3 linked regions of the Drosophila melanogaster genome follow. The protein of the gene in region 3 interacts with the protein of the main gene of each other region in a biochemical or structural test. Each region holds a gene or a part of one and is shown on either strand. Other genes may lie near its edges. The genes, in order: Ubi-p63E, Ubc10 and LUBEL.

Evidence for each region.
Region 1: of the proteins of LUBEL (region 3) and Ubi-p63E, one has a biochemical effect on the other in vitro, tested with the Drosophila melanogaster proteins (one study listed by BioGRID).
Region 2: of the proteins of LUBEL (region 3) and Ubc10, one has a biochemical effect on the other in vitro, tested with the Drosophila melanogaster proteins (one study listed by BioGRID).

What each region holds. Positions count from the first base shown.
Region 1 is NT_037436.4:3,893,522-3,904,766, forward strand, and holds Ubi-p63E (Ubiquitin-63E), read right to left. Parts: upstream 9,664-11,245; 5' UTR 9,483-9,663; intron 9,400-9,482; exon of another isoform or gene 9,334-9,399; intron 9,187-9,333; exon of another isoform or gene 9,006-9,186; intron 8,530-9,005; exon of another isoform or gene 8,332-8,529; intron 8,250-8,331; 5' UTR 8,239-8,249; coding exon 5,947-8,238; 3' UTR 5,910-5,946; downstream 1-5,909. Other genes in the region: Fie (fire exit), read left to right, coding at 12-393, 457-593, 648-737; Gr63a (gustatory receptor 63a), read right to left, coding at 1,478-2,587, 2,663-2,812, 2,873-3,082; Lamtor4 (late endosomal/lysosomal adaptor, MAPK and MTOR activator 4), read left to right, coding at 3,416-3,570, 3,627-3,834; Ccz1 (Caffeine, calcium, zinc sensitivity 1), read right to left, coding at 3,938-4,419, 4,483-5,276, 5,341-5,438, 5,494-5,577; Sc2, read left to right, coding at 10,020-10,390, 10,548-10,764, 10,985-11,100, 11,163-11,245.
Region 2 is NT_033778.4:17,784,536-17,793,351, forward strand, and holds Ubc10 (ubiquitin conjugating enzyme 10), read right to left. Parts: upstream 4,876-8,816; 5' UTR 4,568-4,875; coding exon 4,103-4,567; 3' UTR 3,879-4,102; downstream 1-3,878. Other genes in the region: aft (adrift), read left to right, coding at 1,668-1,709, 1,765-2,205, 2,259-3,878; CG5033 (uncharacterized protein), read left to right, coding at 5,212-5,313, 5,384-6,698, 6,762-7,249, 7,310-7,605, 7,669-7,822.
Region 3 is NT_033779.5:6,764,424-6,774,643, forward strand, and holds the start of LUBEL (linear ubiquitin E3 ligase), read right to left. Parts: upstream 6,546-10,220; 5' UTR 6,463-6,545; intron 6,287-6,462; 5' UTR 6,222-6,286; coding exon 6,168-6,221; intron 6,111-6,167; coding exon 5,912-6,110; intron 5,848-5,911; coding exon 5,711-5,847; intron 5,659-5,710; coding exon 5,530-5,658; coding exon of another isoform or gene 5,506-5,529; exon of another isoform or gene 5,414-5,505; intron 5,314-5,413; coding exon 4,975-5,313; intron 4,705-4,974; coding exon 4,423-4,704; intron 4,370-4,422; coding exon 4,081-4,369; intron 4,023-4,080; coding exon 2,835-4,022; coding exon of another isoform or gene 2,788-2,834; exon of another isoform or gene 2,673-2,787; intron 2,591-2,672; coding exon 2,163-2,590; intron 2,104-2,162; coding exon 1,548-2,103; intron 1,460-1,547; coding exon 1-1,459.

The sequences.
Region 1 (11,245 bases), on a different chromosome or scaffold from region 3:
ATATTCCCCAGTTAATCTCCCACTGCGCCCTTTTCCTGGTTCTCCTGGGACTGGCGCATGCCGAACAGATGTGCGAGGTGCTGGAGCTGGACATCTTGGACCAGAAGGACAATGGTTTCTACAACATGTCGCCCTTTCACAACGATCTTCGCCTGCAAACCGCTGCCCAATTGGCCGTCGCCACGGAGAATCTGCTCTACGTGATGGCTGGTATCGCGGGTACCTACGCCCTGAGTGCCATATTCCTGTTTTTCGGAGTCTTCAAAAATCGGCCGGGCCTAATCATACCCTGGCTGGTTGTGGAGTTCCTATTAATGATTGGTTTGGGGGCACTGGTCTTCATGCTGAGGGATACAAAAATCGTGCAATTGCTGGGTGGTCAAGTGCCCTACTGTAAGTTTGGATTTTTAGGCTTAAATTTTGAAGTAAATAATAACGAATTATCTTATATTTCAGTTATCATTTGCTACATCTTGATCTGCATGGATTACTGCAAGTGGTATGTGATGCATAGCTTCTACCAGAGTCTACGCACCATGAATAAGCTTCGAGAGATTGCCACTGTGGCCATACCATGTCCAGCTCCAGGAGCCGTAAGTTGGTATCAATATTTTGAAAACTTTAATAGTAACTTTCTTATACATTAGATACCCTATCGTTTCCAACGCGAGCACATGTATCTGGGCAGCAATGGATATAAGCACATTCTAACCGAGTCTCCCGATGGACAGTGTTAAACATGTACTGAAAGATTGGATATTTTTGGAACTTCCCATCAGGTGTCTTGATTGCAATTGCACTGCAAATTCTGTATTGCAAAACAGAGTGTGATATGGTTTTGGTAGAGATACTATTTTATATAGCCAACGGACATGGAGCGGCTTATTAGAAATGCAGAATCGGTTCAAAGCGTTCGGCGATTAAACTATAAACTATTTTTGTGTAGAAATAGCTCCCAAAGCACCTTAAAAAATAAAAAAAATAATAATAATATTTGGTCACTAACGCGACTCGAACTCGGAACTTCGAAGCGAAGGTCGCACTCTCTAACCCCTAGGCTACGGCAGCGAAACTCTCGGGATAGCCGAGATTGATTAAGCCCCAAAATCTTGAAACGAAAAACTTGTCTTAAATAAATTGGCGTTCATACAAATATGTATTGTAGCAACGAATTTTTTAAAGCTTAGTTTCTCAGTAGATTTACCACTACTTAACTATAATATGCCTTAAATTCTGTTGACTAGCAATATTTTAGGTATTTCTATTTTGTGGCACAGAACGAATATCAAATAAAAGTGCAAAATTGTAACATATCTAATGAACGTGTTTTTTATTATTTCCACACTTACTAATTTAATGTACATCAAGTTAGAAAAATGTTTGGAATATTCAGTTTTGGGTGCTTTTATTATTTGGCCTCAGCTACAGATGCACATTATCTAATAATATCTTTCTTGTCTTAGGATTATTTGTTCCACTAGCCTTTCCGGCCCTTTAGCTTCATAATTGGCGGTGGCAAAGTGGTTCCTACAGTGGTGGTGCTCAGAGTGCTGGCTCCCATTAGACTCATATCGTTATCCAGGCTGTCCATTACAAAGTCCACTACGGTTATATTGTTAGCGCCTTCAGAATCCCCCTTATCTGTGGGGATACTGATCTGAAACTGCAGCAAAACCACCAGATAAGTGACCATTGTGGTTAAGAGTCCTTTAAAGAGAGTCCTGTTCACATCAAAAAAGCCACCGCAGTTGATGGTCGATGGATTCATTTCGGTGGCTCGCAAAAACATATTTATCTCCGTCTGGGCATCCGAGTTCATCCAGTTAAGCTCCACCATGAGTAGTTTCTTCTGGAAATTGGTTCGCACATTAACCGAGGCATAATGTGCCTCATCGCAAATATAGAAGAGCAGTCCTATGTTCCACAAAGCCGTGATAGTCAGTCCTATGTCCTTGATGCCAAATCCCTCGGAGAGTTGCGACATTAGTCCATAAATCGAAAGGGTAATGATGAAGAACAAGTAGAGGCTCATGAAAACAAAGGTGTAGCACAGGGCATTTCCAGTATCACGGGTCAACTTGCTCAGTCGTAGCCACAGAACACGGTAGTCTGCCACCATGGCAGCGGGTCCAATGTGTTTCAGTGCCTTCTGGAACCGCTCCGCCAGAAGATGAGCCGTAATGCTCATGGCCTCGCAGATGAGGAACCACCAGGCACCCAGCATTGCAGTCAAGTTGTCCAGGATGCAGTAGGGCACCACCTGGTTAATGTTCAAATCCGACATGGTGACGTGCGTGATGACCACCGATAAAACCGAGAGAATTGGCAGCACGATGGCTATGTACACCGCCTTCTGTCGCAATTTCAGAGGCAAACTGTGCCCGGATATCTGGTAGTACAACACCTCAAAGTCATCCCAATCATTGAAGAGCTTTGCTATCTTCCTGGCCTCGTACCACAATATTGGTATAATCATAATGGGCAGGATGTTGACCAGAAAGAGGTATGCAATAACCGCCTCCTCGAAGGGTCCACTCAGGGAGCGCACAATGTGGATGCGGTTGTTGGCCACATAGCCTACATAGCACTGTAAAGCGGTTTTGGGTTACATAATGGTATCCATAGTCAATTTTGAAAAATGTTATGCAAACACCACACTCACCGCCAGGAGCACAAAGAAAACCACCGAGTAAATAAAGGAGGCGGAGTTCATTTCGAACTTGGCACGAGCAGGACCATGTCGCACGATGGGTAATACTCCAATAATCCTCAAGAACCAATTGATGGGATCTATGTTTCGGTAGAAAACACTCTGAAAGCAGCGAAATTCAGTTTTACAAAAATGGTTTTAACAGCGTAGCAATCCACAAACCGGCTTAAATTCCGGATTATTGGACGCCGTGCTGTCCGAGCTCTTTTTCCTATCCAACGGAGGAGCTTCGTAATCCGCATCCAATCGCTCCGCCAATCCAATGGAGTACTTGCGGACCCCGTACAAGTATGCCTGGGCATTAGCACTGTTCAGCGGTTTTGCATTGAGGAACACCGCGTCACCCTTCTTGCGTCGATAGTAGTTGGCCATTCCGGAGAGACTGTGTCCGGAATTTCCTTGTCCGTGGCCTTTTACCACTTTTTCGCCAGACGGACGCATTAGCCATGCACCTGCACACGCCCCCTTATCGACCACGCCCTCTGTTGACTTAGAGCCGGAGTTTTAGTTTCCTGTTGATGTGCGTTGTTTGTCTTTTGAATGAATTAACCTTAGCCCGGTGTCCCAATTTCGAATTTGTGTCAATGGCGCGCATGTGGCAATTTACAACACTGAAACCGGGCTGCCAGGCTACCGATTTGGTATCTAAATGGATCTAGTCCGGTCACACTGGTGGGTGTGGGTGCGAAAGATAAATAAATAAATATGTTGAAAATGGACAGGGAAAAGTTGATTGTGCCCAATCAAATTGGCTATCTGATACTAAAGGAAGATGGAGCAGTTCTGGAGTCCGGCGGAGATCTGAAGAACGATGAGCGCAGTGCAAATGTGATAATGGGATTACTAAATCTCACAGAGACGTGCGTTTTTAAACAAAGGATGAAGGAATTTTGTAATAATTACGCCTATATTGTAGCATCGACGAGTCCTTCATGCCGAGCAGCAGCTGCGAGAGGATCACCATCGATTACGAGCATCACTACTACAGCATCTGCATGTCCAACCGTAGAATATACATCATTAAGATCAGCAAATCGCAGAATGGCGTCACCACGACCACGAGCTCCTCCTCGTCGAACAGCGTGTATAACGATGCCAGCGATTCCGGGGCAGTGCTGGCTTGAAATCCGTCGTCGGATGTCCGACCCACTTGCAGATTCTGTTGGCAAGCAACCGGACAAAGACCCCACAATTGGCGCACTCCCATTATTTACCTAATCCTCCTCTTTATTTGTCAAAAAATACATCATCTGTGAGCTCTTGCTCGAAAATGCGCCTCGCTTCCTGGGTGACGTCCAGCAAGGTGGCCTTGCTATTGCACAGGATCACATAGTACTGCCTGTAGTTACAGCGCCGCTTCACAATCCAATAGTCATTGGTGGTCTTGACCTGAACTTCCTCGGCAGGAGCACTCTCCATTTCCGCCTTGCCACTGCCATTGGCCAAGTCCGCAATGATACTAAGCACATTGCGGGGCAGCCCTTGGGGCAGGTGCCTCTGAAAGTTCGTGTGGTGCTGCAGGCTTTGTTCGTTAATGAACAAGTACTTCGGCGCCGTTTCGCTGTTCCCGCTGGAGTTGTCCTGGCCTGCAGCACCCACCGCCTCCTTTGTCAACTCGCTGGATATGTCCCGGGCCAACGAAGTCAGTTGGGGAGCCATGTAGGCATGGAGATCGTCGTAGAGATCTTGTTTCGGCGCAACCTGGTCAGCTGACAAATGTGGAATGTTTCAAGTTGATTATTTTGGCTATTTAGTTCTAATCCTTAACATACCATTCAGAAACAGACACAGAGTTATGTGCAAAGCGCGGTAGATGAGCAAGTAGTAGGGTTTGGCCTCCTTGTCCAGTGTCACATAGACCTTCATTGGATGATCTTCCTCATTCACAGCGTCATGTTCATCTCCTGCGACCTTCTGACGACTTCTTACGAATCCGCCCACCTGGCATTCACTTATGCTTCGCTTTAGTGAAGGAGAAACTGCAATGGTGGAACTGCTGGCCTCGACTTTCAGCACGTGTTGCACGACATACGAGTGCACGCAGTGCAGATCCTCCGGGCTAAGTTTTCCGCCACAAAGGACCTGCTCCTGGTAGAGCATTATGCTCTCCTTGATGTCGGGGAAGGTCTCGCACAGGGTGCCAAAGTTTTGGGCCCGCAAGAAGAGCGTTTTATCCAATGGCAGATACTGAATGGAATGCAGCATATCGATGATATCACATTGCGCGGGATCCCTCAGGTTGGTCAGATGCTGATCATAGAACTGGAGTAGCTTCTGGCAGAGCAGTTCCCTACGCTTATCCGGATTAGGTTCTTCACTTCCGCAGGAGGAGAAACATCCGTTTTGAAAGCGAAACATTTGATAGCATTGTCTAAGTATTGCTCTATAAATCCTGTCGGAGATCTCGGCACCCCGATAATCGGCCACCTCCACGCCCTCCTTTAAGCGCACCTCCTTGGGAACATTCAGGACCAGTACTAACCAATACCCTGGCTCGGGTTGGTAGAAGAGTTGTGTGGTTTTCTGGGTATGCAAGGCCTGGCAATCATCTTCAGATGTAAAAGTTCTGCAAGTACAGCAAACTCTGTATTATTACCCACTTCCCTCTATGTAAAAAGTTCCATAAATACCCAGTGAACCTTATGATGGCCTCACTTAGTCCCACATCTTTGATTTTCGTATTTAATTCAATGTCATTTGGATGGTAAAACAAAACCTTCTTGTGTTCCTGAAAAAAATTACTCATTAGGGGCGTTTCTTAGCCTTAAAATTGATTTGCCAACCTCGCCTTCAACTTGGCCAAAAGTCGAGTTAAAAATGTAAAAGCTGCGTAACGTAATTTCTACGCGTTGCAATAATTTAGCCATTTCTTTCCGCACAGAATTAAAAGTATTTATTTTGGCCAAAGGTAAATAATGAAAAGGTACTAACGCGTCCGTGTTTGCCAACCAGGGTTACATTTTACCAAATGTAGTGTGCTAGTATATACCAAACGTTTCCAGTACCAAATTAAAAAAAATACCACACAATTAATAAGCGAATTTAAAGCTTTTTCATTTATTTTGGAATTTAATAGATTTAATAAAATTTATGTCATGGCGTTTACTGAAATTTAGAATTTTTCTGATGTCTTCCCTTTTGACAATGCAGAAAGGAAAGTGGCCATCCATAATCTCCTCATATTTATTTAGAGTGAAGTGCGTGCTAAATTGTGTTTATTTGGAAATGTATTTAGTTTAAGCCTGGATTCCTCCACGGAGACGGAGCACCAAGTGAAGGGTCGATTCCTTCTGGATGTTGTAATCGGACAGGGTGCGTCCATCCTCAAGCTGCTTGCCGGCGAAGATCAGACGCTGCTGATCTGGGGGAATTCCCTCCTTGTCTTGGATCTTAGCCTTAACATTCTCAATGGTGTCCGAGGGCTCTACCTCGAGGGTGATGGTCTTTCCGGTCAAAGTCTTCACGAAGATCTGCATACCACCACGGAGACGAAGGACCAAGTGAAGGGTGGACTCCTTCTGGATGTTGTAATCGGACAGGGTGCGTCCATCCTCAAGCTGCTTGCCGGCGAAGATCAGACGCTGCTGATCTGGGGGAATTCCCTCCTTGTCTTGGATCTTAGCCTTAACATTCTCAATGGTGTCCGAAGGCTCTACCTCGAGGGTGATGGTCTTTCCGGTCAAAGTCTTCACGAAGATCTGCATACCACCACGGAGACGAAGGACCAAGTGAAGGGTGGACTCCTTCTGGATGTTGTAATCGGACAGGGTGCGTCCATCCTCAAGCTGCTTGCCGGCGAAGATCAGACGCTGCTGATCTGGGGGAATTCCCTCCTTGTCTTGGATCTTAGCCTTAACATTCTCAATTGTGTCCGATGGCTCTACCTCGAGGGTGATGGTCTTTCCGGTCAAAGTCTTCACGAAGATCTGCATACCACCACGAAGACGAAGGACCAAGTGAAGGGTGGACTCCTTCTGGATGTTGTAATCGGACAGGGTGCGTCCATCCTCAAGCTGCTTGCCGGCGAAGATCAGACGCTGCTGATCTGGGGGAATTCCCTCCTTGTCTTGGATCTTAGCCTTAACATTCTCAATGGTGTCCGAAGGCTCTACCTCGAGGGTGATGGTCTTTCCGGTCAAAGTCTTCACGAAGATCTGCATACCACCACGGAGACGAAGGACCAAGTGAAGGGTGGACTCCTTCTGGATGTTGTAATCGGACAGGGTGCGTCCATCCTCAAGCTGCTTGCCGGCGAAGATCAGACGCTGCTGATCTGGGGGGATTCCCTCCTTATCCTGAATCTTGGCCTTCACATTCTCAATGGTGTCCGATGGCTCTACCTCGAGGGTGATGGTCTTTCCGGTCAAAGTCTTCACGAAGATCTGCATACCACCACGGAGACGAAGGACCAAGTGAAGGGTGGACTCCTTCTGGATGTTGTAATCGGACAGGGTGCGTCCATCCTCAAGCTGCTTGCCGGCGAAGATCAGACGCTGCTGATCTGGGGGAATTCCCTCCTTGTCTTGGATCTTAGCCTTAACATTCTCAATTGTGTCCGATGGCTCTACCTCGAGGGTGATGGTCTTTCCGGTCAAAGTCTTCACGAAGATCTGCATACCACCACGAAGACGAAGGACCAAGTGAAGGGTGGACTCCTTCTGAATGTTGTAATCGGACAGGGTGCGTCCATCCTCAAGCTGCTTGCCAGCGAAGATCAGACGCTGCTGATCTGGGGGAATTCCCTCCTTGTCTTGGATCTTAGCCTTAACATTCTCAATGGTGTCCGAAGGCTCTACCTCGAGGGTGATGGTCTTTCCGGTCAAAGTCTTCACGAAGATCTGCATACCACCACGGAGACGAAGGACCAAGTGAAGGGTGGACTCCTTCTGGATGTTGTAATCGGACAGGGTGCGTCCATCCTCAAGCTGCTTGCCGGCGAAGATCAGACGCTGCTGATCTGGGGGAATTCCCTCCTTGTCTTGGATCTTAGCCTTAACATTCTCAATTGTGTCCGATGGCTCTACCTCGAGGGTGATGGTCTTTCCGGTCAAAGTCTTCACGAAGATCTGCATACCACCACGGAGACGAAGGACCAAGTGAAGGGTGGACTCCTTCTGGATGTTGTAATCGGACAGGGTGCGTCCATCCTCAAGCTGCTTGCCAGCGAAGATCAGACGCTGCTGATCTGGGGGGATTCCCTCCTTATCCTGAATCTTGGCCTTCACATTCTCAATGGTGTCCGATGGCTCTACCTCGAGGGTGATGGTCTTTCCGGTCAAAGTCTTCACGAAGATCTGCATACCACCACGGAGACGAAGGACCAAGTGAAGGGTGGACTCCTTCTGAATGTTGTAATCGGACAGGGTGCGTCCGTCTTCCAGTTGCTTGCCGGCGAAGATCAGACGCTGCTGATCTGGGGGAATTCCTTCCTTGTCTTGGATCTTAGCCTTAACATTCTCAATGGTGTCCGAGGGCTCTACCTCGAGGGTGATGGTCTTTCCGGTCAAAGTCTTCACAAAGATCTGCATTTTGGATTATTCTGCGGGAAGAAAATAGAGATGTGGAAAATTAGTACGAAATCAGACGAGTTTCGTTGAAATTACAAAACTATTGAAACTAACTTTCTGGCTGGGGAATAAAAATGGGAAACTTATTTATCGACGCCAACTTTGTTGAGAAACCCCTATTAACCCTCTACGAATATTGGAACAAAGGAAAGCGAAGAAACAGGGAACAAAGGGTAGTTGAGAAACCTTTGTTCCGTTGCTTCGTCATCGTTTTCGTGTTGCGAGTGTGTGCATGTATGTATACACAGCTGAAATGCATGCATACACATTATTTTGTGTGTATATGGTGACGTCACAACTACAAGCAATAAGAAATTTTCAGACGTGGCTTTGTTTAAGCAACCTACTCTATTTCAGCTAAAAATAAGTGGATTTCGTTGGTAAAATACTTCAATTAACTAAACAACTAACTAATAACATGCACACAAATGCTCGAGTGCGTATGTGATTTCTCGAATTTTCAAATACGTCACTGCGAATTTCACAATTTGCCAATAAATCTTGGCGAAAATCAACACGTAAGTTTTATTTATAGATTTGTTTGCGTTTTGATGCCAATTCATTGGGAAAACGAGATGCGTGGCTGCCAATTTCTTATTTTGTAATTACGTAGAGCGTTGAATAAAAAAAAATGGCCGAACAAAGACCTTGAAATGCAGTTTTTCTTGAAATTACTCAACGTCTTGTTGCTCTTATTACTAATTGGTAACAGCGAGTTAAAAACTTACGTTTCTTGTGACTTTCGAGAATGTTCTTTTAATTGTACTTTAATCACCAACAATTAAGTATAAATTTTTCGCTGATTGCGCTTTACTTTCTGCTTGTACTTGCTGCTGCAAATGTCAATTGGTTTTGAAGGCGACCGTTCGCGAACGCTGTTTATATACCTTCGGTGTCCGTTGAAAATCACTAAAAAATACCGTAGTGTTCGTAACACTTTAGTACAGAGAAAAAAAATTGTGCCGAAATGTTTTTGATACGTACGAATACCTTGTATTAAAATTTTTTATGATTTCTATGTATCACTTTTTTTTTGTGTTTTTCGTTTAAACTCACCACAGTACAAAACAATAAAATATTTTTAAGACAATTTCAAATTGAGACCTTTCTCGTACTGACTTGACCGGCTGAATGAGGATTTCTACCTAGACGACCTACTTCTTACCATGACATTGAATGCAATGCCACCTTTGATCTAAACTTACAAAAGTCCAAGGCTTGTTAGGATTGGTGTTTTGGAATTTAAGACCCTTGTTAGTTTGCTTTTGAAATAGCACTGTCTTCTCTACCGGCTATAATTTTGAAACTCGCAGCTTGACTGGAAATTTAAAAAGTAATTCTGTGTAGGTAAAGGGTGTTTTAAAAGTGTGATGTGTTGAGCGTTGCGGCAACGACTGCTATTTATGTATATATTTTCAAAACTTATTGTTTTTGAAGTGTTTTAAATGGAGCTATCTGGCAACGCTGCGCATAATCTTACACAAGCTTTTCTTAATCCATTTTTAAGTAAAATTTGTTTATACTCTTTCGGCAAATAATTGTTAAATCGCTTTAAGTGGGCTTACATCTGGATAAGTAATGAAAACCTGGATAATATATTAATACATATAATCCACTGTGCTTTCCCCGTGTGTGGCCATATACCTAAAAAAGTTTATTTTCGCAGAGCCCCGCACGGTCACACTACGGTTCGGCGATTTTCGATTTTGGACAGTACTGATTGCAAGCGCACCGAAAGCAAAATGGAGCTGGAGATTTTGAACGCGAAGAACAGCAAGCCGTACGGCAAGGTGAAGGTGCCCTCCGGCGCCACGCCCATCGGCGATCTGCGCGCCCTAATTCACAAGACCCTGAAGCAGACCCCACACGCGAATCGCCAGTCGCTTCGTCTGGAACTGAAGGGCAAAAGCCTAAAGGATACGGACACATTGGAATCCCTGTCGCTGCGTTCCGGCGACAAGATCTATGTGAAGGATCTGGGTCCCCAGATTGGCTGGAAGACCGTTTTCCTGGCCGAGTACGCCGGCCCACTGATTGTATACTTGATTTTCTACTTCCGACCGGAGTTGGTGTACGGCAAAGCTGCCAGTCTGCCGATTTCCCTAACCACCCAGTGAGTTTGTAGAAAGTAGTCTCTGAAGTCTTTCGATTGTCGACCTAATCGACCTCGTCGCTTATGCAAACTAAAACGCAACGGCTCTGCATAATTATCCCCGAACTTTGGATGGTGGTTCACCCAGTAACCCGCTTTCTTTTCTCTTTTGCCCCAGCATTGCCGCCGGCTGCTATACGGTCCACTATGTGAAGCGTCTGCTGGAGACGATTTTCGTGCACCGCTTCTCGCACGCCACCATGCCGCTGAGGAATCTCTTCAAGAACTGCACATACTACTGGGGATTCACCGCCTATGTGTCCTACCACGTGAACCATCCGCAGTTCACCTCGCCCTGCATGTGCACCGTTTGGGGAGCTCTTGGGGCATTCGCTGTATGTATCCGCGGCCATGGTTTATGGATCTGGGTTATATGTTTTCGTAATCTACCGGTTTCCTTTGCTTTTGTTCGAAACATTTGTTTCTTAATACCAAAGGTGTAGCTTTTTGTTAAAATTGGTCAAGCAATTTGTAATGTTATATGTGCTATATATTTGGGATCCATTAATCATATTTGCAGACCCACAAACTAAGCCGCACACTTTTCACTTTCAGCTCTGCGAACTAGGAAACTTTTCGGTGCACATTGCCCTGCGCAACCTGCGTCCGCCGGGAACAAAAGTGCGCAAGATTCCGGTGGCCGATGGAAATCCCCTCACCAAGCTGTTCGAGTAAGTGGTCACTAAAAAAACCCACAGCTCAAGTTTATTAATTCGCGCTCTTCGAACTGCAGCTTGGTTTCTTGCCCCAACTACACCTATGAGATCGGTGCCTGGGTTTCATTCTCTGTGCTGACTTCTTGCCTGGCTGCCTATC
Region 2 (8,816 bases), on a different chromosome or scaffold from region 3:
CATGGCGACAGGTAGCCAGCCCAGCCAATGGGGGAATAAAAAAGGGTGGAGGGCCGGAGACGTAGATACATGGAGCTGTGCCCGGCCAGGCTAAGCCGCTTTTTAGCGCAACGCCGTCTGCCCGGAATATTAATGAACTCCCTTTTGAGAAAAATATGAAATGAAATAAAATTTTGTGGCCAACAATAGCCGTGTCCACGTACCAGTCGTTGTCGTTTCGGAATTGGAATTTGTCGGTTCGCCATCGGGGGGCCCCAAAAATGCATTGGCCATGGCCACCATTCAACGCCAAACACGGCGCATGCGCAGCGATTGCTACTTCCGCTCGAAGCTATTGAAGATGTCCAAGGAGTACGAAGATACATACATAGATCTTGCCGGGACGATTAAGCCGAAGTAACTACAGAACTTTGTTGCTCCGTCGCTGTGAACCATTATCTATAGGCATTACATTACAGATATTTATGCGCGATTATACAAAACAGTCACGTGCCGGACTCTTCTATATACAAACTGGGCACAAATATACCGGCCTGGGTACTTACACCTATATGTACGTACACATATGCTACGACTGCTATTTGTATATGAGAGGGAGCTATGTGCATATATATATATATATATATATATATGTATATAAAGGCGGAGAACGTTACTCAAGACCGATGTCGAGTTCCAAGGGAAGAGTGATGCCCCTGCGGTAGCCAATGCGATCCTTTTTCTTTTGTCAGCATTGGAAACTCATAATTTGAATATCGTTATTATTATTCATAAAAACACGACTCACGTTTCAAATGGCCATAAAGTCGGCAAGGCATGCGCGTATTAAGTAAACCCATTGGCCACGATGGTCGATGCTGAAATTCCGAGACCCCAAGACATAACCACATTCCGATTGGGAGTGTAAGTTTATATGTATGTATATGTAACTTTCCGACAATTTCTCCAACTTCCGTACTTGGGCTATCCGCATCAATAAAATAAGATTTTAATGAAATATTAGTATGCACAATCGAATCACTAACGGATGATGACCAATAGTTTCGTAACCGCACACTTTGCAGGCACCTTATTTGTCGCCTGCCGTGCGCTTTCTAAATGGATAGTTCCATAGAATCAAAGAAATCAGTTTCCACGTTTCCACCATCGGGCATCTACGGGAAATGCCTTTGACGATCATCGCCGTCGAAGGTGGAAAGGAAGTTACATTTCTACAGGAGATAGCGATTTTGTTCTTTTGATAAAGGGAATTAGTCGAAAAATACCTAGAATTAAGAAACATTTTTAAAAGAAATATGCGGCAAAAAAAAAAAACAATTGCATTTAACATATTGGCTGAAGTTATTTTTCAACCTTTAACTTTTAAACAAGATGGAATTCTTGATGGCTTTTGTTCTTATTCCATTCATCTTCAGATACAAGCTATGGAAACGTCTAGCCAAATCTTCTGCATCTACGAATTAGCTATAATATTGCATTAGAGATATAAAATAATTATTCATTGCAGCCCGGAAAATCAATTTAAATTTGATAGCTTAATCGATAACGTTTGCGATTTTTAGTTACCGTCGCTAAGATTTAGGCGATGGATCGCTTTGAGCTTTTTCCATCTCTATTGTGTCGCAGATCGCTTTGTTTTTGACGCCTCGCATTTAAATTTAGCCGGAATGAGCTTTCGTTCGTCTCCGCAGGGAAAGCCACACCCAATGGTGAGTAAAGGATGCTACATCCTACAAGTCAGTCATTACATTTCACACTTTACAGACGGACTATCAGTCCATCCGGCCTTCCGAAGTGGAGCAGCTCTTCGAGAAGAAGTTCCACTATCAGAAGCCGAAAGGAAACAAATCCTGGCAGTTGCCGCCACCGGATCAGGCTCTCTTCAGTGAGTTCTACCAGTTCGAGGCGCTGCAGGGACTGCGCGAGCAGCTGAATGCGGTTAAAAGCAAACTCAATGACTATGGCGTGCAGGAATGGAGTGCTCACACCAACAGGCGTGACCCTTCTGGCGAGGTGTCCTGGCGCCTGAAAAACGACACGAAGGCCGAATTTGTAACTGTGGCATGGTGCAAGTTGTTCGAGTGCCTGCATCGTTATCCATTGGTCACGAAGCCGGCTGTCAACAGTATGCATCTCTGCGAGGCACCCGGTGCCTTCATAGCATCTCTGAATCATTACCTTCATAGCAAATATGAAAAGGATGAGGTGAGTTATCAAGTCATCCTTGAGAGATACGAGAACGGAACTCTTTTTTCCAGATTAAATGGCGCTGGCGCTCAACTACTTTGAATCCGTACTATGAAGGCAATGCTATAAACCAGATGATCAGCGATGACAGGTTCATCGTCCACACGCTGGACAACTGGTTCTTTCACAAAGATCTAACTGGAAATCTACTAGATGTGGCCAACATTGACCACCTGGTGGAACGTTGTGAGGTGGAGTTCCAGGGACAGGTGGATCTTGTCACTGCCGATGGTTCCATCGATTGTGCCGCACAGCCTGATTGCCAGGAAGAGATAGTGGTTCGCCTTTTCTTTGCTGAAGTACTCAGTGCCTTAAGAATTCTCTCAAGTGGCGGTAACTTCCTAGTGAAGATGTTTACCCTCTTCGAGGCTTGCAGTGTATCTCTACTTTATACACTCAATTGCATCTTTGAGGAGGTACACATCTTTAAGCCGGCTACTTCCAAGCGGGGAAATTCGGAAGTGTATGTTATCTGCCTGAACTACAACAAGGACCATCCCGACTTGCCTCGTTTGCTAGAGGAGATAAAGAGCAAGCTTGCTCAGCCGAATGACACATTGGTAATGCCACTGTTTGCCAAGTTCCAGATTCCCCACGACTTTCTCATGCAGCACGAGATCGCCTGCCGTATGTACATGAAGCTTCAAACGGATGCCATCGAGGGCAGTATCTATGCCTACGAGTCCAATGATCGTCATTATCTGAGACATCTTCATCACCTGCGCAGTCTTGTCGCGAACACCTACTACAGTCTATACAAAGTGAAGCCATTAGAAGATAGCCTGTGCATCGTGGACAAGGAGGCCACCAGTAAGGCTCTGGGATTCCAAGTGCCTGTCTATGGCGGTTCCTACACAGAAAGGGAGTCCTTGAAACACGGTGACCTTCTCAAGCAGATTTACTGCTTGCGTCGGGAATTTAATCAACTGGAGAAGTGTCTTAACAATAGAACACCGTATTCATACGTTAAGAACAGAACGGCACCCTTGAATCTTCACATTTCACGAGGAGCACCTGTTCAGAGCCTGCAAAGCAGCATGTTTGCCTCGGAACCAATACTCATTCTGCGCCTTCGCATCCTGGACACATTTGAACTCGACCCTGTCTGGCAGTCTGCGCCAAAGTGCCAGTTGGAAAGCAAGACACTATGCTACCTGCCACCAACAGAAGACGAGGCATTCCACACCGCCCAGCAGCGCTTTTTCATTGATCTCCTGGAAGAAGTAAAGAAATTGAAGCCCGACAGCATTGTCTTCCACAAGTTCCTGTTTCTCACCCATTACGCGGCGTCGCTGCTCTTATTTCTCATAGAGAGCGTTTATCAGGATTGTTGTTTTAATAGCAATCAAGCGCAAACTCTCACGTTGAGTAAGCTAAAAGATACGGCTAACAGTGCCTTGGAACAGGTGCTGGAACTTCTTAAGGACGAGCAGGCGGGGGCCATTCACAGCCTGCTGGACATTAAGGAGCTGCAGAAGAACCAGTTCAGCAAGGCCCTCATTCAGCACAACAACAGCATTGTAATGACCTGCTTCCGTAGCATGTTGGGCGAGGAATCATTTCCCATGCCCGTAGCTCCGACATCCAACTCAGATGTCGGTTCCATCCAAGAGTCGGCAGCTGTATTTTAACATAACGAACATGTATTTCTCACTTGCATCAAATTACAGTGCTACTTTTACAAAACTAGGTACTCTGCCGGGGAAATATCTGCTTAAATGTTTTCTGAGGATAGTTTTTCATGGATCAAGAATGAAAATTAAATAACTAACAGAAAAATCACAAGACTAAGGGGTAAGGGTACACATGGGTTGTGGACTGGCCCACCTCCTCCAGCTCTACCTCCGCCTATCCGCTAGTCGGCCGGACGTTTTTCGCTGTGCTTCTTGGTGTAGTCCTCGGCGTTTTTCACGAATTTTTTGCGATCCTTAAGAAACTCCTCGGCCAACTCCGCCCGCAGCGGATGCTCCGGCTCAGGGTCGTTGATTAAGTCCACCAGTGCCTGCACGACCTGGTCGGTGCGTGTGGCCGGTTTCCAGTTCTCCGTACTGATAATGGGCAAGCACACCTGGCCCTTCTCATCGATGTTTGGATGGTAGATGCGTGTCTTAAAGTTAATCTTGGGCGGCTTGAAAGGATACTCCGCCGGAAAGTTGATCTCGATGCGGAAGGCGCCCTTGTTGTACGGCGGATTGTCCGGGACAATCAATCCCGTCCAGCGCAGCAGGTTGTCATCGTCCGCCTTAATGTCCCGGAAGGACTTCAGTGCGTTGCCCTGCAAATCGCTCAATTCTTTTCGCAGGCGTCGCGGCGCAGTCATCGTGATGTCTATGTGTGGGTTCTCTTATGCTGGTGTGTGCGTAGGTGTGTGTGGAACGGAAAGAGGAGGGGGCCACCTTGCCAATGTGTGCGTGTGCACTTTTGTTTGCCCTTGTGTGAGCTGCAAATCGATGGTTTTGTCTTCCGGATATGTAATACTCTCGTTCAGCCGCCGGTGTTTCGTTGTTGGTGAGCTCCTAGTGCTCCAGTTGCGGGGTGTCACCTTTGGTTTTCGCACTGGCCCAAAAAAATCCGCACGTAAGTCTGCGAATTTCGCTGAAAATGGTTCGTTGAAGAATCTTCCAATTAGCGTTAGGGTATTTTGCAGACTTGCTCGCAACGGCGCTGCAATTGGTATACATATACATTGGTCATGTATAACTTTGTCTTGATTTTGCAACTTGCAACGGCTGTAATATTATGTTTAATACTAAATAAATCTTTATTGGAAAGTATTTATTATAGATGTATATTTTAAGAGAGGTAACAAATGAAAATAAAAGGGTTGCTGTTTCCAAATGGATTTGTAACCGATTACCAGCAGCAGTGGCGGCAAGCCAATCGATAGGCAACCGTTTCAGGCGATTCCCATCGCTATCGCTGACTGCAACACGTGCGCCGCGTTAGTTTTGTTTTTACCTCAAAATGACCAAAAAACTAGCTCTGAAACGCAGAGGAAAGGATTCGGAACCCACAAATGAAGTGGTGGCCAGTTCCGAGGCTTCCGAAAACGAGGAGGAGGAGGAGGTAAGACCCATTGACAGTGATATAAAAAGTCATTTCAAAATGACCTGCATGTGTGTTTGTGCTCTTTAAGGACCTGCTGCAAGCTGTAAAAGATCCCGGCGAAGATTCAACAGATGACGAGGGCATAGACCAGGAATACCACTCGGATTCCAGTGAGGAACTGCAGTTCGAGAGCGATGAGGAGGGCAACTACTTGGGCAGAAAGCAATCTTCATCAGCTGAGGAAGATGAAGAAAGTAGTGATGAAGAGGATAATGAAGAGGAGGAAAGCACTGATGGAGAGGAAGTGGAAGATGAGGAGAAGGATTCCAAGTCAAAGCAAACAGACGATAAGCCCAGTGGAAGCGGTGCCGCGTCTAAAAAAGCCCTTACAGCAGAGCTCCCGAAACGGGATAGCTCGAAGCCTGAGTATCAGGATTCAGATACCTCCGACGAGGAGGACATAAGAAATACTGTAGGCAACATACCCATGCACTGGTACGACGAATACAAGCACATCGGTTACGACTGGGATGCCAAGAAGATTATTAAACCACCACAAGGAGATCAAATTGATGAGTTCCTGCGTAAGATCGAGGACCCAGACTTTTGGCGTACCGTCAAGGATCCACTTACCGGTCAGGATGTGCGCCTAACAGACGAGGACATTGCTCTGATCAAGCGCATCGTTTCGGGTCGCATACCCAACAAGGATCACGAAGAGTATGAGCCCTGGATCGAATGGTTCACATCGGAGGTGGAAAAGATGCCCATCAAGAACGTACCCGACCACAAACGCTCTTTCCTGCCCTCAGTTTCCGAGAAAAAGCGCGTCTCTCGCATGGTGCACGCCCTCAAAATGGGCTGGATGAAGACCACTGAGGAAGTGGAACGCGAGAAGCAGGCCAAGCGCGGTCCCAAGTTCTACATGCTGTGGGAAACGGACACCAGTCGGGAACACATGCGCCGCATCCACGATCCAGTCTCTGCGCCCAAACGCGACCTTCCCGGTCATGCCGAGTCCTACAATCCACCGCCAGAGTATCTTTTCGATGCCAAGGAGACCAAGGAGTGGCTTAAACTAAAGGACGAGCCACACAAGCGCAAGCTGCACTTCATGCCACAGAAGTTCAAGTCGCTGAGGGAGGTGCCCGCATACTCGAGATACCTTCGGGAGCGTTTCCTTCGTTGCCTGGATCTTTACCTGTGTCCCCGTGCAAAGCGTGTCAAGCTGAACATCGATGCCGAGTACCTTATCCCCAAGTTGCCCTCGCCGCGTGACCTGCAACCCTTTCCCACGGTGGAGAGTATGGTTTACCGTGGCCACACCGATCTGGTGCGGTCTGTTAGTGTGGAGCCCAAGGGAGAGTACCTCGTCTCCGGTTCGGATGATAAAACCGTCAAGAGTAAGTACTAATTTAATTGACAACCTTTTAGATATCTTCTTACTAATCCATCTCACCTCACAGTTTGGGAAATTGCAACAGGTCGTTGCATTCGCACAATCGAGACCGACGAAGTGGTACGCTGTGTGGCTTGGTGTCCAAATCCCAAGCTGTCTATTATTGCGGTGGCCACTGGCAATCGCTTGCTGCTCGTCAATCCTAAAGTGGGCGATAAGGTGCTGGTGAAGAAGACCGACGATCTCTTGGCTGAGGCGCCCAGTCAGGATGTCATTGAAAGTGAACGCATCAAGACGGCGGTGCAATGGTCAAATGCGGAAGCTGATGAGCAGGAGAAGGGCGTCCGCGTAGTGATTACCCACTTCAAACCCATCCGACAGGTGACCTGGCACGGTCGTGGTGACTACTTGGCCACAGTGATGCCCGAAGGTGCTAACCGCTCGGCTTTAATTCATCAGTTGTCCAAGCGGCGCTCACAGATTCCATTCTCCAAGAGCAAGGGTCTCATCCAATTCGTGCTCTTCCATCCGGTGAAGCCCTGCTTCTTTGTGGCGGTAAGTGGGTTAATTTTCTTTTGTTAGTATGTCTTATTGAATTCTGTTTTTTCTTTACAGACGCAACACAACATTCGCATTTATGATCTGGTCAAACAAGAGCTTGTCAAGAAGCTGCTGACCAACTCCAAATGGATATCGGGCATGTCTATTCATCCCAAGGGCGACAATCTGCTGGTGTCCACCTATGACAAAAAGATGCTCTGGTTCGATTTGGATCTGTCCACAAAGCCCTACCAGACCATGCGACTCCATCGCAATGCAGTTCGCAGTGTTGCTTTCCATCTTCGATATCCGCTCTTTGCTTCCGGCAGCGATGACCAGGCTGTGATCGTCTCCCATGGCATGGTCTATAAGTAAGTGGCTATAAATCAACATTGCCCAAGGTTAATTACGAATTTCTCCAAACTTTTTTTTAGTGACCTGCTGCAAAACCCTTTGATTGTGCCTCTCAAGAAGCTGCAAACACACGAGAAACGCGATGAGTTTGGTGTGCTGGATGTTAACTGGCATCCGGTGCAGCCATGGGTCTTCTCCACGGGCGCGGACAGTACCATCCGACTATACACGTAATTTAGGTGTACAAACCCCAAGAAAGTTTCTTTTAGTTTCCGAAAGTTTTGTGAAATTTCAATAGTAAATAAAAAATATATTAATTTTTATGAAAAGTAAAGTATTTCATATAACCATTTCATTCGAACATTTTAAAAACAACGGTTTTCGAAATCAACGGGATCCCAAAATCAAAATGTAAGTGCAACCCTGCCGAAAGTTTATAAGTTCTGGCCCCAAAGCTTTGCGGTAAATTCCAGTGGGGCGAAGAGTCCCGAGCTTTATTCTCTTTTTCCGACTCGCGCACATGTCTTACCGTCCGTTCTCTCGCGCTCTCCGCCTGTCAGTCCCTCTCCTGTGTGTACCAGGAATTCTAACTGTATAGCAATTCCACAAAGCTTTTCGCTCAGTCCACCTATGGAGCCCTCCCCCGGCTGCCCACTTTCCACTCGCCGTTATCTTGCGTTCCTCGGGAGGAGCGCGCGCATTGGAAAATCAAAATCAAGAGCTGGCGACACGGCACTGCTTGGAAATCAGTCGCCTGCCTTTGCCCGAGCGGAGAGAATCTCGAAACGCTCGAATCGACCCGTCGAGGATTTTGGCTTCAGCTTCTGGGTGCTGCTGGTGCTGAGCAGCCAAAATCGCAGAGCGCAGAAATCGAATGGGAATTGGCTGCCATTGCGGGGGCACCGAGCACGAAGGAATATAATAAAATATGGCCGAGGGCGAAATGTGAAAATGTGAAAATGCCAGTCCAGGCAGTCCAGTGACCACGAAAATTGCAGTTTCCCCCAATTCGTATTCATACACACACACACATTCTCAACAGTCAACGAAAAAAATCGTAAAGAAATTCACAAAAAAAAAATCGAAGCACAAGCAAAACAATTTCGGGGCGAAAAAGAAAAATATATACAAATATACACATTTCGATTCCGATTCTAGTGGCAAAAATTCGTATGTACTCGTCGCTGCTCCTCAAAAACATACATACATACAAACGCGACCCCCTTTT
Region 3 (10,220 bases):
TCTTCGGATCGATTTGAGATGACCTCTATAGTAACATTATCGTTTATATCTGTGGATGTTACGTTTTCCATAGTTTCCAAAGTGTTGCTATTTGTTCCTTCAGATAGTATTTTAAGGGGTGTGCTAGTTTTAGGATCAGATGCAGTAACATCTGACTGAATATTACTTGCAGCAGCACTCAGATCTTTATCTTTGACTGCTTCTGTTTCCTTAGCTGCTGTTTTTGACTCATTTACTTTCTGATCGATATTGTTTGGTAGCTTTGTACGATTGGTTGGTTTTTGGCTTTGCTCGCGGGATCTACCCTTTCTCGATTGCTGGGATCTCTTAGCTCTTCGGTTGGCATCTCTACTCGTGCTTGGCTGGTCATCCGACTGAACTTGTACTTCTGCCACATTCTGCTTAATTTGCAAATTATTTTCAATTGATTTTTGTTTATCACTTTCATTGGCTGTCTGCGAAACTGTTTCACTAATTGTCTCACTTGTAATAACTAATGGTGTTTCTAGTTTTTCCTGCTGGCGAAGTTCCTCATTAACGGTCTCTGGTTGTGTAACTTCTGTATTTTCAATCTTTTGAGCTTCAATGGGTACTTCTGGAGCAGATTCTTCTTGTGCTTTTGCTGTTGGAAGCGAATTGACTGAACTTTCAACCGCTACATCTACAACATCCTCCTTGGGTTGCTCATTAGGAGCCATATAACATTTGTATACTATGCGTTCTGCATCCGTAAGATCGCTGCTTTCCCATTCCGCCTCGTGCCATCGTTCAGTGCCACGATCAAATTCCAACTTGAAGTTGGCTATTTCAGTGGCATAGATAAAACTGGGTTGAACTTCCTCACGAATGCTGGCTTCCCTTAAATTGGGCTTGATGACTTCCTCCATGATGTAGACAGCAGGATCGACACTTGGTGTGGGCTCAGGCTGAGGTTCGAGTAGAGGTTCAGGCTCCTTTGGCTGTTCTGCCTCAATTTTAGCTACCTCTTCCGGTTTCTCCATGAGCTCCTGTTCAACCTGTTGCACCAGGTTGGGCACAATTTCCTGAATGTGTTGCCATACAAAGTTCTTTACATCATCGGTTGACTTATCCTCTGCCGGTCCAGATGGTTTCATTGTGCTAATGGGGCTCTTTGTTAGGATACGCATTATCTCCGGATCCGTTTCGTACTCCAGTTCCGGCTTTCCCTTGAATGTGTCCAGCATGGTCTCGATGGAACGTAGAACCTCCTGGTTCTGCTTGGCCTGGTTCTGTTCCATGTTGCCAATGAGTATCTCCAGGTTCTTCAGGGTGCTGTCCTCCATCTGATAGGGACTGGGTGTGGCATAGGTGGATTTGACGGGGCTCTCGTCGGTGCGGGGTTGGTCGAAAGGATTGGCTTGGGCGGGGCTGGGACTTTGCCCAGCCAACGGAGGCTGCAGGCAGTCCAAGGCGTGTGTGTTCAAGAAGTCATGGATATCTGTATTGGCAAATGAATGCGCGGGGGGAGAGATAAAAATGGGACATTATGGCACTGCGATTGACTGATGCACGATCTACAAACTAACCCGACTTGGTGTCTATGGCCACGCCACTCTCATTCTCAACGCCATTCGGCGAGCCCCAGATGCGCATTAGAAATGGCTTGAGTTGCGTGCGATTCAGCTCCACCAGCGCCTGCTCCACATTACCTTGGTGCGCAGTCAGCGCGTTGACAATGTCATCGCGCAGGAAGTTTCCCTTGGCCGCCAGTTTCCTGTACTTCTGCTGCCTCTGTTGGATGCAGTCAGCCACCGCCTGCCACACATTTCCCCCCGAGTTGCGCAATGCCTCGCGTGCTTCGTTTTGGGACACAGTTCCGATCGTGTTTTCACCCCTCTCCTGTCCGTACTTGGTTGACAAACTCTGCACCGTCTGCACCAGCTTGTGCCAGTTCTCGCGCAGCCACTGAATCGGATGAGTCTCCGGGGAGCAGTACTTAAGGGCAGCTTCCAGTTCCTCAACCGTAAACTTGTACAGCTCCAGTTCTTTCAGTATGATGTGCATTTCCGTTTCCGGATCTCTGGCCGGCTCATGCTTGACTCCGAATGTCTCATGCGGCATATCGAAAGGTGAAGATACTTGCTGTAACACATGGATCCGTTGGATTATGTCAACTATCAAGTATTGCCATAGATACTTACAAGCTGCAGCATGCGTAGCTCGTTTATGAAATTGGGTCTTTTGGTGACCAGACCGGCACTATATGGATCCAATCCAAAGCCGTCGTGATACCTCAGGTCATTGGCACTCCGATAACGTTCACTCTCCTGTTGCAGCTGGGAATTGCTGCGATAGTGCGGACGTCGCTCCATCTTGTTTGGTTCTGGAGTCGTGAAGCGGTCAGGAACAACGGGGATGATCTCTTCTTGCTTTGTATTGAAGGGCAGAGCGTCGTAGGTCTGTGTGGAAATGCTTTGTGGAGGCGGGGAGGTTCCCATCTCCACAGCTGCTATTTCCCGGGGAGGAGTCCCACCACAGGCCGTGGAGACCTTCTGAGCCTTCTTGAGTACCTGCTCCGCCTGCGCCTGTATGCTCTCATCCAGAGTATTCCAAATGTTTTCAACGGACTCTGGAACGATACGGATGAGAGCATTAGCTTTTGGGGGAACGGGATCGGGGTCACCAACGGATTGAAATCAAACAAACGGAATGCGGCTTGGGTTATGGTTCTCTTTTGTATTTCGTTTCCATAAATGCGTTAATTGTAGGCTTACAGTTGATGGCTCTATTAGTGTACTAACTAGGTATAGTCTTTGGTGGTTGGGCTTAGGTCTTTGTGCCTTCGAAAAATGAGATTCTCTTTTGTATCCTACCTTTGTGCAGAAGACTCTTGGCCAGCGAGTTATCGGATTCATTTTCCGACGAAGTTTTCAGTGTGGATTTCGATGGTGTCTTGATAGGAATACTGGAGGTGGTCTTGGAGTTTACAGCTGGCGACGCTTTTGAGCTAGACGTGGAGTTGGTGTGAGTAGTCTTCGAAAGAGCAGCAACGGATTTCTGACTGGGTTGTTGGCTCTTTGTAGTAGGCTTTTGCACTGGCTTAGTTTCCGTCTTGGAAGACGCCTTGATATTGTTAGACTTTTCAGCTGGAGGCTGTGGTTTTTCCTCTACCTTTTTGGCCTTGTTGGGCTGCACTGGAGGTTTGCTGGGCGTCTTGCAGCATATGGAGCAGATCTTGATGTTGGGCTCGTTCACAAACGTGCAGAACTCGCATTCCCATTCGTGGTCTGGGGTAGAAGGTGGTGGGCCGAGATCATCAGCCCCAATCTCGTCAGGAACTTCCTGGGGATCGGGTGCTGTTTGAGCCTCAGCCTCACTCTCTGAGGCGGTTACCTCTTCGACCACTTCCTCGTATTCCGAGGCACTCTCTTCATGGGCTGGTGGCACCACCACCTTTTGCACCACCGCTGCCGCCTGTGTATTCTCGTCCTTCATCTCCGGCTTGCGTTTTGGCTCAGCCTTCTTCGAGGATTTGTGCTGATCGGCTTCTTGGAGCTTCTGCTGAATTTTAGCTTGAACCAAGGCCCGAGCACCCGATCCCTCAGACTCCAGATCGGAGTAAATGCGACTGGTTCTGGCCGAGTCCGTTGCTGTTTTGTTTCTGGTAAGGGTTCCCTCATTTTCCCGTCGCTCCGGTAGCCACTCACTCTGCACGGACTTGGCAATGGATCCCCGACGATTCCGCATCTTGTGATGCACCTGATCGCCGTCCAATTCATCGCTGGCTATGAGTTGGGAGGCACTGGACAGGCGCCTTTGGCGGGGCTGGATATGGTTTTGGTGATGCTGGGAGCGCGAGGCACTAGTCATGCCCGAGCGATTGGACACCAAAGATCTGCGGTCATCCTGGTCGGAGTCCTCGTCATCCGTAAGTTCGTCATCCACGTAGCTATTGCGCTTGCGACGCAAGGACATCGATTTGCGGCTGGGTGTTGGTGATGCAGCGTACCGGGAACGGGATGCAGCTCTGGAGGCAGCTGAAGGTGGCATTCCCATGACACCTGCGCATTTAAAGTGCAATATGTAAATTAAAATATAACTAATAGTGCCTCATTTTACCTGGATGCATCATGGGATAGCCTGGTGCTCCTGGATACACATTGGGCATCATACCACGCTGGGTCATAAACACTGGTGGCGGATAGTGTGGATGATGTTGCTGCGACATGTAACCCGGTCCAACGTTCAGGGACAGATTGGAGTTGTTGAATTGCTGTTGGGAGCCGAACTGTGACCACTGATCGGGATGCTGGTGCTGAGGAAGTGCTTGGTGCGGATGCTGTGCCCAGCCAGGATGCTGCTGACTCTGTTGACATCCAGCGCAGTTTAGCTGCGCCAGGGATTGGGCCTGCAAGCGGGATGGTATCTTAGTTTCTAAGGGAGCATGAAACTCTAACTCACCTGCTGGATGCGCTGATTGGCGAGCCAGGCACCTCCGTTTTGGGCCTCGGACAGTGGTCGACGTGGATTCGAGTTGAGATTGAACACCGATGTGCTCATCTGTCGCCGCTGGGCGCCGGCCGCCTGTCGTTGTTGGAGCAGCAAGGAATTGTGAAATTGTGAGTCATCCGAGAGATCGAAATGGGATGAGTTCAGGCCGGATGACATGCTGCCGGAACGAAAATGCGAGGGCGATGGTGAAATGTTTGACCAGTGCTCGAAGCCGGCTTCATTCGACAAATGCTGCGCTTGGGAAATGACCAACGAGAAACGGAAAAAGAAAGAGAGAGAGAGAGAGGAAAGGGAGAAACGACACATGACGAAACGAGACGAGACGATACGATACGAAGTGCAAGGATCAAATACTATCAAGGATCAATGATTAATAAATTAACATTTCATTTACAATTATAACTGATCCTTGACACAATTTTCGCCGAGCAAAGACAATACGATACACTCAGTGATGAGGGGACTCGTACGATTGTGATTCGGGGTCAACGGGTCACTCACCTGTTCGCTGTTGGCGCTCAGATCCTGGCGAGCCTTCTGTTGGCGGTACCGCTGCTGCAGAATGGCCATGCGGTCCAGCGTGGCGCTGGCCTTGCTCTTGATCTTCTCCAGCTGCACCGACGGCGGTCGCTGGATGGTGTCGAACACGGACTTGGGGGTGCCCGATCTGGAAGATCCCCCGCCCTCGCTGCGCGGTGGATCGGGCAGTGGTCGGTTGTTCATCTGGTTGGCAGAGCTGGTGGCAATTGGTGGCACTGGGGGCGTGGCCCCGCCACCGAGCGATCCCCGCCAGCCGCCCAGCGACTTGTGCGAGGGCGTGGGCGAGGGCGGCGGCAGCATCTGGAAAAGAGTCGGGTTGGGTGCCATTTCGTATGGGTATTCGGGTAACAATTGAAAAAGTATGTCTGGATCGCTGTTTCTACAATTTTGGTCGGGCGTTCTGGTTGTAAGGACTCTTTTATTGAAGCATTCAAATTGAAGTTTACAAACTTGGTACTACGTGTAGCCCATGAAGGAGCCTTTCTTACGGGTCTAGGAGATCGTGCAGTGGCGTACCTGATCCTTGCGGCCCAGAAACGGTGTCAAAAGGCCTCGTTTGCTGCGTCGTGGAGGTGCCACTGGTGGTGGTGCCCCACCACCGGCCTGTGCCTTTGGCGGAATCGGCGGTGTGCCCTGCTCCACAGCCTGCAAAACGAAGTTCTTAAGTTCAAATTCATAATGGATCGGGAGAACTTACCTTTCTCATGTGCTGCTTACGTTTGGGATGCTTGTGGAACATGTCGTCGCAGGAGGCGCAAAAGATTTGGCCGGCGCACTCGGCACAGGTTACCCAGGGATTCTGGGAACCGCACAAGGTGCACTTTAGTTTGTTATCTGCAAGTGATAATTATCTCTGGTAGTATTTTAAATAAGTGGAATATATAAAAAGGTTGCCCACCTGGTGTCTTGGTTCTGATCACTGTGGTCTTCATCGGTTCGTTGGAGTACTGCTGGCTGGAGAATTCGATGATCTCGTAGTCCGGCTCGGGAGTGCTCTTCGCCTTGGGCGGCAGAGCAGGCGCCTTGGGAAGACCACCAGCCACACCGTTTGGTGGCGTGGGTGGCGGTTTGGGCCCAATGCGGTCATTTGCCTCCATCTGAAATGGGTAATTAGTGCAATTGGATATTGACTGGCAAACTGGATATTGGCTTACCACCCAGGAGGGCATGGTGCGAACATTCTTGTTTAGCAACTGGTGGGTCGTCATCTTGGTCGATTTTTTCGTCTGGGTTTTGCCGTCACTTAATCGTCTTTTTGCGCTTGATTGGTTTTCTATTTCATCGAAATACGTAAGCAGCAAAATATTAATATTATTATAATTATTTATAGATCGCAAATACCCTGTGCCATATTTTCGCCCAACCGCAGCCACTTCAAACGACTTCAAATTCAATTAAGCAAAGTGCCAGAAAATGCGAATTATGAATGCATATTTTTAGCTGGCTCACCCAAATTCCGAAGCCAATGACCAAAATGCAGTTTCGTGGATGCCGTGCACAAAACTAAACGCTGCCACAGTTCGATCGCGAATAAAAACGCTAAATGTAGTCGAAAATATCTTTCGGTGCATAGAAAACAAAAATTGAAAAATGTATATATTTTGGCATAACATTTTCGGTCTTGTTTATTTATGAAATCATGCGAAAGAGGGAAGTGCTGTTTTGTGACTCAATCGACTCATTCTGTCAACGCGGCTAAGTGGCTGAGATGCCAAGAAAATTGCAAAAGAGATTAGACTAGGGAGAAGAATTCGAATTTGAAAATAGTTCTCAAAAGTTTCGAATAGAAGAGTATTTCATGTAAATGCTTGAAAATAAAAGCGAGCGAATAAAACTAACAGAGAGAGGGAAAATATTGACTAAAAGCTGAGCGAATATGCATTTGGTAATGACGCAGGTGGCCAAATCGTTGCCAAATAGTTTAAATTAAATAATGGCCTAAACAACATAATAATTCCATTAGTAAAGGTATTTCAAATGCTGACTTTAGTATATATTTTAAGTTTACTATAATTGCGTCCAAGGCATCAAACTTTTCAACTCAAAGGGCAACGCACCGGTAAAAGTTATATGTATATAACTAAATATTTCATATATAATTAACTTATTAGATATCTATGTTTCTTCATGTTTTATGAAATGTGTATCTATGATACCAAGGAATCATTTATCTCTTGCATATTCTTGTAAGTTAAGATTGAATGTTAATTAAACTTTTTAATATACATATCTGCACTTCAAAGTTTTCCTTACTACATTTTATATTCCTGATACTTTGAGACAATTTCCCGTTTATTGAATATGTTTTATATCTCAATAATATCTTTTAGAGCATATATTAATCCAGCAGCTCTGGCATATTTTCCACGCACTAGTTAAGTGCGTAACGAGCCATAAAATTTATCCATAAATTTCGGAGTCGCGACGCCTCAGCCAGCATAGCAAAAATCAAGCCACACTGTTCTCTCGCATTGCGTATACGCAACGTGTTCGCTGGGCCTGCACTCCCGTGTCTGTTGCGCTATTTTTGAAACCATCCGCAGCCACTCCATACATTTGCCCCGAAATTGTGTCACACTGTGCAGCAATATTTATGAAAGCCGCCTGCAGTGGTGGGAGGGGCATGGCCCGGTGCCACCTCAATCCCGCCCAGAAGATCGGCCTGCTCCGTGCGGCGACTTCGAGTGGCAAGTGGCCTGGCAAGAGGCAAACGCAACGCTGACTCACAGACACAGACTCACGCGGCGAGGGAAAAAGTTTTATTTTTATAGGAGAACGAACGGTGGGAACTATTTTTAAACATTTCTTTGGCTTGCCTATATTTGCGTTTTTTTTTTTAGTTCACAGTTTTTCATTATTTCAAATTGGCAAATTAGCTTAAAAAATTTGATTTAATTTTGTATACTTTATTTTACGCTTTGATTGTTTATCCCGGCCAATGCCTTGAACTTTCCCATGGAGAGCGTTCTCCGCGTTTAAAATTAGCTGAGTTTTATATTTAGAACACTTGAGATCGATTTAATTGCGGTGTGATTTTAAATTGGCTTTTGAACTTTCGTAATGGATTCGATCGACCATGAACGGTTGGATATCCGCGAAATCAGAGGTCACTTACATAATTCGATTTCACTTGACGCGTCTTGCCGCACTCAAAACTGCCACTGCCAGCTGGTAGCACATGAATATATATATATATATATATATATATATATATATATATATATATATAGGGATATATATATTTTCCTGATATCTAGCCACAGCGCGACATGAAAATTCAGCTACGGTCTCGTTCGACGATCGTCTCCCAGCGAACTGAAATCTCAATCAGATTCTAAACAGCACTTTTACTGCAGTCCGCGGTCCCCAGTCGTCGCCCGAGTAGGAGGAAGTCAACGCAGATCTATGTGCTCCTCTGGTCTCGTCTGGTACGGTTTCCCCCTGGTGATCCCCTCAATCCTCGATCAGTCGCATCTCTTTCCTATTTTCAGCATTTTCGCGTTGTTTTATAAATACATCGTTTTCGAGCGGCATAGAACATTTTGACTGCGAGACGCCGTCGCGTGTGTGAATATCATTAATTCTCGAATATATATCATTCTCAGCTATTTGTTGTTAAACATTTTACGTTGTTATACGGAACTGATTACTTGTTGCGTTTCTTTTTCATGAATGAAAATATGACAATTGTATCGAATTGATGTCCTGCGATCTGATCGACTATTGAACTTTATGGCGTACCTACATATATCATTACCAAAGTTCAAGTTCAATGGAATTTCAGATAACATAAATATTTCCGCATTAATTCTTATTATTTATCTAATATTTTATCCAAAAAACCGTGGCGCCTGGGGAAAGCGCTGAATCGTTCATCGGGATACACGCCAGCTATAATTATGATTTATGAAAAACAAGTATCTGAAGGGATCTCCCGCAGTTTAGCCTTGAACAAATTCTGCACATTTAATGCTAACAATAAAGAAGAACATCTATTAATTTTGGATCGAACAAATGGTATCAGCAATAAAAGCATCGCCATGGGCCACCTGCTGCCGGCCGGAGGTGCAAATCGAGTGGCAATTTCGATGGATGGACGATGGATGGGAATTATGGAATTAAAGCCTCCGTGGGTGGGTCCATTTTCGGTTTTCCTAGCTAGCTGGTCTAAAAATAAATACAATGCATAATAAATTGGCTGCGCGACAAAGTCAAAGTTCGACAATTGCCGGCACGCACATTTTCGGTTGGGAGACCATTTGCCCACCATCCTGCAAAAATGGGTGGGCCGCCCACGCAGTGACCTTGCCGCGTTTGACGCAAGCCGATGTTTTCAGGATCAGCTGACTGTCAGCTGTATGTAAACAAGTTAAAATGCCGGGTTCCTCTCCTTCGGCCACTGCAAAGCATTCGGGAAGCTTTCCCATGAGCGCTTGTGTAGAAATCGCGCGCCATTTTCCGGCCGAGCTTTTCCCGAGCAATATTCTATTCGAAGTGGCATGTAGATATTATGTAGATTTTCTTGCAATCGATAACAGCTGCGAACGTAAAGCCCTTCGAATGTTAACGAAACCCCTGAGTTTTGGCCAGCATTTTCCGGCTGCATTCGCGAAATGTTCGCTGCAGGCAATGGACGCGAGTGGAAAACTCAAAGGAAAATATTTACGGTTAGCCTGCCGCCATCGTGTTGCGTGTACAAAAGGGGCGTGTGCGTGCGCTAGTGTGTGTGAGAGAGTGTGTAGTTGTGGGCCAGGGGAATTGAGAATTTACTAGTAGTATCCCAGTTGGGCGCTCAAGCAGTACGTGCGAAAAATTAAGCGTTAAAAAAGTGCCTTTATAATTTACCGATTATCCTGACATTACTTTGCCCTATACTAGTTTAGTAGCCCAAAAACCTACGATCATTCAATCAGGTATATATTTAAAACAAAAGAAGCTGAGTGTTTGCTTAGCAAAAAGTTGCATAAATTGGCAAAAATAATAATGAAAATTAATCAAAAAGGGTGACGAATTTAAGGTACAAGAATTTAAGCTTGCAAAGTACATGAAGTGCGCCAAAAAAACTGCAGTGCAATGTTCACCTTCACCCAGTGTGTATGACATGCAGGCAAATGAAAAATCGATACCAGAAGCATCAGCAGTTGCAACGCTCTACGACCGCTCCCAATTAGCCACAAGGAACTGCATCATCGCGCAGCAGGTCCCTT